2 linked regions of the Nothobranchius furzeri genome follow. The protein of the gene in region 1 purifies or fractionates together with the protein of each later gene. This does not show direct contact. Links are inferred from orthologs where the notes say so. Each region holds a gene or a part of one and is shown on either strand. Other genes may lie near its edges.

Region 1 (4,354 bases):
AAACAAACCCATTTGGCTAACATTCACTTCTTGGGAGAACTCGACCACAGATGTTCAACTGTAAACTCAGTAATAATTTAGCAAATGTAAACTAGTTCCTCCCTTCTTCTTATTAGCATTAGAGCTAATTAGCTGACGACAGTTGACTAGTGTAGAGCCAAAAGCAAACTTGAACAGGTCACTAACTTAGGTATAACTTCGTCGTTGGAACAGTAGAGTTAAAATGTGCAAGTTGCTTAAAAAGACTGATTATTTTAAGACAAAAACTAACCTTTGATGGAAAGTCCGCCGCTGTTGCTTCCTTTTCTGTTGGATATTTGTGGGTTTTATAGTCAAGAGCCAGCTATTAGGTCGATGTAGCTAACGTAGCTTGCCGTGGTAGCTTAGCTAACATCCGTTAGCCTGTGAGTGATTTGTTTTGAAGAAGCACGGGCTAACGTAAGCTAGCTCAACTTCGCTAACGTTAGTCAGATGTGGCTGCAAAACTGTTAAATACGCAAGGTCCATACGTTAATTTCCTCTAAAAATAAAAAGCGATACGTGTCCTTTCTGATAGACAGGGCATGGTTTGTACTCACGCATTAAGTAATTCAAACGCGGGGCTAAGTTTAACATGCAAAGCAAGAAAAACTCAGTCATAAATTTCGAATCAAAATGGCGACATTGTACGATGAGAGCGCGCGGCACACGGGGACGAGCATCAGCTTCACTGCTTCGCAAAACATCAGAGCTCACTCACATGGGGTTCAAGCATCTTAATTGTAAATTATGTAATTTCTGACTCGTTTAATTGTCTCTTACTTTTAAAAATGGTACATTAACAGCGCTTGTGGGAATTGTGCAAATGTATGCGACAAAACGACGCTCAAATTAAAACAAGATCTAAATTATGAGACAAACTCATTATGCAGTAACGCAACAAACACATGAAGTCAAAATTATCGAGACGTTATGCGATATATGTCAGAAATAAGAGATTTTAAAAACACCAGTTTAACTTGAAATTAAAGGTGATATGAATGAAGATGCATATAATCTGATTAAATTAAAAATGCCAATACCAAAATATTAGACTACTAGCTTAAATGCTGTTCTGAAAAGTTTAAAATGCATTTACTTCATTTAGAAGTGCAACAATTTTGACACTTTTACAGAGTGTTAGTTTTTTTTTATTTATGCATGCGAAGTTAACTGCTCAGTTTATACTACAAAGATCAGAAAAGTGGTTTTATTTTAATGAACGAATTACTTAATATTGTATGTTTATAAATATCATCTTTACAGAATTCAAGGGACCCCCCCCCCCCCCCCGGCCACCCACAATGCATTGCGCTCACTCGTTGGATCCGGTTGGATCATGGACCAAAGTGGTGAGCTAAACGCTAAGTAGGCCCTCTGTTGTCAAAGTTTGTTTTTGTGGCTTATTTTTTCGTTTTGCCGCCAGAGTTGCTGCTCTAGTAGTTCTTTAAATTATTACGAACAACCTTCCAGGAATCCGGCTTTGCTGTTGGAGCTTGGTGCCTCTGAAATGCTCCGTTACGGTTTAGGTTAGCTGTGGATTTGTGCTAAAGGACGTCAGTTCACCATTTAACCCTTAAGTTCTAAGTCAGTTGGAATAGTTAGTTGTAACGTTAACTGGAGGTGTGTTCGGTTCCTGTGCCGAATGTGATTAGTTTGATTTTAGGTGTAAATCCAGCGATAGCGTTGTACAGCCTACCTTACCCTGTTTTAGCGCTTAGCTAATTCTTTGGCTAACGGTTTGTAACTTCGTTTTTGTTGCTCGTCCTCAGATTATTTATTGATGTCCGAGACCTTCTTTGTGTTTAGTATTCTCACAAGTAAAGATCAGGGTAAACTGAATTTCGGTTGGATAAAAATAGCCTGGTGTTCTTTCGGAATATTTCTTAAATATGTCAACGTTTCAATCTGTCGCCTTTTATGTGCCTTCGTTTTGAGAATTTTCTCCTTTCTTTACCATAAAAAACACTTTCTTGATAAACTTACGTCACAGATAATAAGCATTATTCTTCAAACCGTTAGATTTATACTTTGATTACATGAGGGAAAGTGTTCCGACACATCAGCAGGCAGAAATGCCAAACATTAACACGCCAAAAAGTAGTTTGAACAAGAACAGAAACGTTTGCTTATTTAACTCATCAGTCGGGTACATTTCAAATAAAGATTTACATAACTTTTGGAACGCAGATGTAATATAATTGTGCTTAATGGTGTGATGCTATCAGTTTTTTGTTTTTATTTTTTGGGTTGTGCATTCGGTGTGTACAGACGGTGATCTTCAAGGGAGCGATGGTTCGGGAAGTTTGGGTGGACTGGATGTTCGCAGACGAATCCCCATCAAGCTCATTTCCAAGCAGCCCTTGAGGAATAAGCCCCAGCAGCGGATGCAGAGGCCTGGCACCAGGCCCTGCAAAAGTGAACCTGGGGAAGATGGTACGCTACCGAGCACATTAAAAAGCAAGTCACCCCCAAATCAACCTTTTTGTGTGATAAACTATATAAATTGTGCTGCAGACATGTGTAGTCAATAGTTTGGCACTTTAGTGCATTTTAGTTAAAATTTTAATTTTCTGACTAAAACTGTCAGTGTTGTGCCGTTGTCAGGTAAAAACTCTGCACTGCATTTGAATTTAAATCTGCCATCGCTATTGGCTAAGAGGTATCCTACAACGTTAGCTGGTACCATATGATGTCACAATGTCGTTGTGAGCGTGTGTGTGTGTGTGTGTGTGTGTGTGTGTGTGTGTGTGTGTGTGTGTGTGTGTGTGTGTGTATTTGTTAGCAGCTCCGCCCTCTCAGTCTGCTAGGCAACAACATTTGTTGCATTTTTCAAATCAGAAGTGGGAGTGGAGTAATACTCTGGTAGGGGGTGACTTGCTCTTTAAACTTTTAAAAAGTAAACTGATCGGGGTTATAGTCACAACATTTTCTGTAGAATTTTAATTTGGAGGTTGAATCTTTTTATGGTTCATGTTGATTCTGTGCTGCAGGAACTGCACAATTCTGGCTGGACTGTGCTCCCAGCAGAATCCACTAATCAGTCATTTGCTCCAATGCAGAGCCTTAAAAATAACTATTTAGACAGATGCTTTTAAAATAAACTGATTTATACACCTCAGTTAGTAATCATAAACATTGTTTTGTTGAACCTGACCAAAACCCTTCTTCTGAGGGTGAGACAGATTTTGCTGTATATTAACTTATAGAATTAACCATTATTCATTAGAATATACTTTATTGTCTCAATTGGGAAATTTGTCATTAGGTCAAAAAAGTTGCACTTCGGTTAGTATAACTGAAAAAAGGAAAAACTACACAGAACCATACTAATCTCCACATTACATACTACTCTTAACAGATGACCTTTGATTATGCATTGTACATAATACACATAGCACATTCCTTAAACATCGAGTACTGCACACTTACACAATCCCACAATACTGCAATTTGAAAATTTCAATCTGAAACATTTTGCCCCAGCTCTATCAGTTGACTAATTGAGTTCTAAACAACAAAATCTGCTTTTATTAATCAGGGTTTTATTGACTTTCTCTTTTCAGTTTTACAATAATACTTATTTTCTCATATTTTGTAGATAAATTCAACTTTAAGCAAGAGGAAAGGTTTGATTGTGGCACCAAAGCTGGCGATGTGTTTGCAAGCCAGCGGAGATTTCCACAACCCCTATTTTGGGACTATAAGGTACGTCAGTGTGGGTTTGCTGACATCATCTTATTATAGTGACTTTCTGTTTTATATATATATATATATATATATATATATATATATATATATATATATATATATATATATAATAAAGCTGTCCATTGACCTTGGGTTAGTGTACACTGTTGTTTTGCTTTGACTATAAAAGCTTTGTGACTGGATTTGAGTATGTCTGAGTGACAGATACCCATAATTCCACCCATTTGCTTTCCCTACAGTTACATTTAATTGGTGAACGGGATGAAGTACCAATTCATTTCTGTGACAAATGTGGCCTCCCTATTCAGCTGTATGGACGGATGGTATGTACTTTGTTCTTGCTTGCTCCCTTTGGTTGGTTTTGAATCATTTTCTGGACTGAGACTCTCCCTCTCCTCAGATCCCATGCAAACATGTTTTCTGTTACGACTGCGCTTTGCTGCATGAGAAGAAAGGAGAAAAGATGTGTCCAGGGTGAGACATGTTTGTTTTTCATTAGAATGACTTCTCAGATGTTAAGAAATCCTGCTAGAAAGATAAACCCTGGAGAATACTGTCTTGTTTTTGTTTTTTTGTGGCAAAAAGTTTAATGATATGTTAAAATATTAAATCTAAAATAGAAATT
Region 2 (4,357 bases), on another chromosome or scaffold:
CTCGTTTATTCTGCTGGCAAAAGGAAACATGTTGGTTTCTTTTGTTTGGTGTACACATGGGAATTTCCTTCTTCTGTTTGTTTGGTAAAGCTGCATTTAAGCTTGGAAAAAAGGAACATATATTCATTCCATGCGTTTAGCCGTTTAGTTTTTAATGTTTCTGGTGTTCGGCCCACAGGAGGAGACAGAGTCCACTGATGGGAAAACGACAGAACCAGTGAAGAAACCCAAAGGACCAGCACCTCAGATTCGACAGAAACCAAAGAAAGAGAGCAAAAAGAAACGATAGAGCTTTGTGCATCTGAGTTTGTTTGTTTTTGTCATCTGATACATTTTAGTTATTATTACAACACTACATGGAACACATTTCTCAATGATCCTACTTTCATATTCACACAGACTGCAAAAAAACACGATGTTCATTGACAGTGAAGAGTTTTCGTTTCCCTTCATTTTATTAATAAATATTGAAGATATTGTTGGAAATGCATGTGGATTACAACTGACCAATAAAGTCATTCACCTCAGCTGTCTTTATGATTGTTTTACTCATGTCTGTGAGTCAGTTAAGTGTGACTGGTGTTCAGCTACAGACACAAATATCATAGGGAGATTTGGAGTTTTGCAATGTATTTAAATATAAAGAATAGGTAACTTGTCCATATTTGATCTCGATGCTTTTGATTTATTATGTAAATTTGGGTTTATTTGTGTCATTGTAACTTTCTTTCTCTTGAAATCGCATATCTAGAGAGAATTTTTTCATAGCTAAAAATTTCATTAAGCCAAACGTCATTTTATAAAAAATACTTTTATTTCTATTACAAAAACATTAAAAGGGAACTTATTAAAATAGATGATTGCGACAGTAATTTGAAAAATAAATTGATAAACTATGCACTGATTGTTCACAAGTGCAAACCTTTACATTTACTCAGTTACCAGATTATTTTAAATTACAACGTTGTGGAACAATAAAACTCAAAACTGGGGCAAATGTTTTCCAAACGTCAACAACCCCGGAGGGTTTGACTTTAATGCGACAGTCACGTTCTGCTGTAATGGAAGTGTTGCTAAGCAACCACTTTACGTTGCCTGTACTTTAAGCAAATCATCTCAATTAAGTCATTGCCGGGGATTTGTTATGTAACAAAGTTGTGTATGTATTGAACAGATCTAAAGGGGTTAAACGCGGCAGCGGTGTTCAGAATCTGTTCGTGTCATGCCCAAAGTGATTCCCTTCACAGAGCCGAGTTGCGCAGTTGTTGTCGTAAATTCTCCCGACGCTCTTTGAACGTAAATCTAGTCTTTTCGTGTTCGCCCCTGGTTCGCCCTCATGTTTCGTAAGCGATGCGCTCTCTCCGGCGGCTTCCTCCCCCATACGAGGCTGGTCTTCCCCGGATAACACCGCTCCAGCTCGTTCGCATGATTTTTACTGCGCCGTCGCCTCCTTTCCAGCTGGACCGTCTGCCGGTGCTTCGCCCGGACCACCGCCGCCGTAGCTCACCGCCACCACCGCGGCAGCTGCGCTCCCTCCTTGAGGAGAATCAGTCCTCGTCATGACCTCTCTCCCTTCCTCCGGTGATTCTTCTGATATTCGCTAAATGGGATTTGCGGCTGGACTGAGGTTTCCACAGCAACTGCCCGTCGGCTTCCATATTCTTCTGATGAGAACAGCCATACGAATCTGACCGGGCTCCTCGCTGCGCTTCTCTGATTTTTTTATTTTATTTTTTTGGGGGGCTGAATCACAAGACGCGTCAAAGGTAGGTTTAGTTTATTACAGCATGTAGCGGCTTTTTCTCTCCTGGCGAGGAGATTGTTTACAGTTTTGGGGCCAACCGCGAGCTAACAATTAGGTGTTAGTCTGTTTTCACACATGTATATATGCTGTGGTCCCCTACACACACATACACACACACACACACGCTCATTGTTACACAGGCCATTCAGAGACCACGGCCAGTGCAATGATTCAGTCTGAGCCGGGGCTTGCCCCTTAGGACTTACTACAGACCATAAAAAACAAAAGGTTTGTAAAAATCGCCATCGTGGCTTCGTCACGACGCCAGATGCTCAGAGAAAATCCGATGAGACGAGTTTGCTCTGAAAAAGAAGCCAACAATCCATCGAAATCCAAAATGGAGCTGTAACAGCACCTGTTTTGATTCATCAGGCCACATGCACTGGAGCTACCGCTGTCTGTCACTGAGCCCTCTTAAAAATAAGTCAATCCACGTTCCCATTCACAAATCCAGAAACCACCTGAAACGGATCGCCCTGCTAACTCTGGCTGGTTTTTAATTAGGTTATGTCTTTATTTTTATTTTCTCCCCAAGCAAAGATTCCGTTTTGACAGTTGCTACTCCCGTAGGCAGCAGCCACCCCACCCCGCGTTTCATTGAAAGCAGCTTTGCTGACAACTGGTGTTTAATCCCGTGGAAATAGAATTTTAATTATGTGGCTAATAGTTTATTAGCAGATAGTTTTTTTTTGGGGGGGGGGGGGGGGGGGGGCTGTTCCAGCTAATTTCTGGGAGGAAAGAGATCCAGGTTTCTTATTAAGGAGGAACTTTAATCCTAAAGCCCTAGTATCTGAGCTACTGGTGGACTTGCTGATCCACCAAACATAAAGGAAGCTGCAACATCTAACTGGGCTGTAAAAGCAAAATTAAATATTTTTATCCCATAAATGGGGGCAAATGGGTGATAAACATGATGTTCTGTTTTTGGGTCATTCAAAATATTTGGCTCAATTGGCTGCAGCTATGTTATTGTCTCCATTATTTATTCATGCGTTCATCTGTTTTAGTCAGCAGACATTAAATGTACAGACAGCTTCCTAAAATCAAGGGTTGGCTAATCTGGAACTAAAGCCTTCAGTGAACTCCCACCTTTCCTGATCTTGTTTGGTGTTGATACTAGGAACATTTCAGGAATGTTTTCCTGCCTGTTTTCAGGTAATTCCGACTGCTTGTCATGTCTCACTAGTTGAAAAGGTGTTCCCTGAACACCGACTCATGAGTTATGTCGCAGAACTTTTTTGCATGGAGGCTTCCAGGTGAATATCGACTTCAAGAAGACCAAAAGGTTATTTTACTTTCCTAATGCCTTCAGTGTAAAAGTGAGTGGAGACTTTAGACATGTTTTGATCAGAGGGAGTATTATAAATAAAATGCTCTCATTTGAATAAATGTAAGTCAGAAATGGGGCGTACACGTAGAACAGGGTGAGTTTTAAGAATTTGTAAATGACGTGACATCTCTGACATGAAATGGCCATCATGTCCTGTAAAATTAATCACGCTGAAGCAGCCGCTCCCCACGGCCAGGATCACTGGTTCCCAGAGCCTTCAGTCAGAGATGGACGGAAGTGTTTTTTCTTTATCAGCTAAGTGCCTCAGTCTGTCCGTCTTCCTCCTCCTCCTTTTTTCCCCTTGTCTCTCCTGAGTGTGTTTGCCAGAGGACAGATGAGATGGGAGAGCTTGTTTACCCTTTCCACACATGTTGGATTGTTCATGTAAAGGCTTAGAAGACAAGAAGATGTGGTTCTGATGTTCATTGGACCTAATCAAGTCCATTTCTCTTCCTCTGACTATGTAAAGTAGGACAAGACGGCAATGCCAATGTGAATGCTTCCTCTTGTTTTGATCATGGGGAACCATCGCTGACCCCTCCCCACCTCCTCTTCCTCGCCTTCTCTCCCGAGGGCAAACTGTAATTTCCCCATTGAACTGAAACATTAGCCAGAGCTCCTTCAGTCTCTGCAGCACAGCAACAACTGGTACCGTCTGTTGTGACTCAGTCAGGTTTGTCATAGCCAAATGTGCAGCAATAGTGTGCTCATCATCACAAGAAAAATCAGGGTTGATAAGACCTGGGACAGGGGGATGGATTAGCAAAAAAAGTGTTCTGTTTCCTACGTAAAATCTTAGCACAAGGTAAGACTGACTTCAGAGCCACAAATGTTTTTGTTTTGGGTTGTCATTTTATCAGCTTAAGTCACAATCGGTGTGATCAGACATGCCACGTTCACGTGCTGAATGTTCGGAACTATTTCTTAAAGAGCAAGTCAACTCGTACAAGAAACTTACTTCACTCCCTCTTCATGTTTGAAAAATGCAACAAATTCTGTTGCCTGGCAGACCGAGAGGGCGGAGCTGCTAACAAATACACACAAAGACAGGCTCACGACAGCATTGTGACATCATAATGTACCAGTTTACATCATAGCATACCTCTTAACCAATAGCGGTGGCAGATTTAAATTAAAATACAGTGCAGAGTTTTTACCTGACAACGGCACAACACTGCCAGTTTTAGGCAGAATATTTGAATTTTAACTAAGATGCACTGAAA

Evidence for each region.
Region 2: the proteins of E3 ubiquitin-protein ligase Hakai (region 1) and proto-oncogene tyrosine-protein kinase Src purify together in Homo sapiens (affinity purification with western blotting; 3 studies listed by BioGRID and IntAct, with this or other methods). This does not show direct contact. The link is inferred for Nothobranchius furzeri from reciprocal best matches to the Homo sapiens genes CBLL1 and SRC.

What each region holds. Positions count from the first base shown.
Region 1 is NC_091741.1:57,567,182-57,571,535, reverse strand, and holds the start of E3 ubiquitin-protein ligase Hakai, read left to right. Parts: upstream 1-1,409; 5' UTR 1,410-1,528; coding exon 1,529-1,547; intron 1,548-1,586; exon of another isoform or gene 1,587-1,757; intron 1,758-2,289; coding exon 2,290-2,478; intron 2,479-3,619; coding exon 3,620-3,726; intron 3,727-3,968; coding exon 3,969-4,052; intron 4,053-4,129; coding exon 4,130-4,203; intron 4,204-4,354. UniProt on the Homo sapiens protein: E3 ubiquitin-protein ligase that mediates ubiquitination of several tyrosine-phosphorylated Src substrates, including CDH1, CTTN and DOK1. Targets CDH1 for endocytosis and degradation.
Region 2 is NC_091743.1:58,638,554-58,642,910, forward strand, and holds the start of proto-oncogene tyrosine-protein kinase Src, read left to right. Parts: upstream 1-1,553; 5' UTR 1,554-1,766; intron 1,767-4,357. Other genes in the region: protein MANBAL, read left to right, coding at 179-289. UniProt on the Homo sapiens protein: Non-receptor protein tyrosine kinase which is activated following engagement of many different classes of cellular receptors including immune response receptors, integrins and other adhesion receptors, receptor protein tyrosine kinases, G protein-coupled receptors as well as cytokine receptors.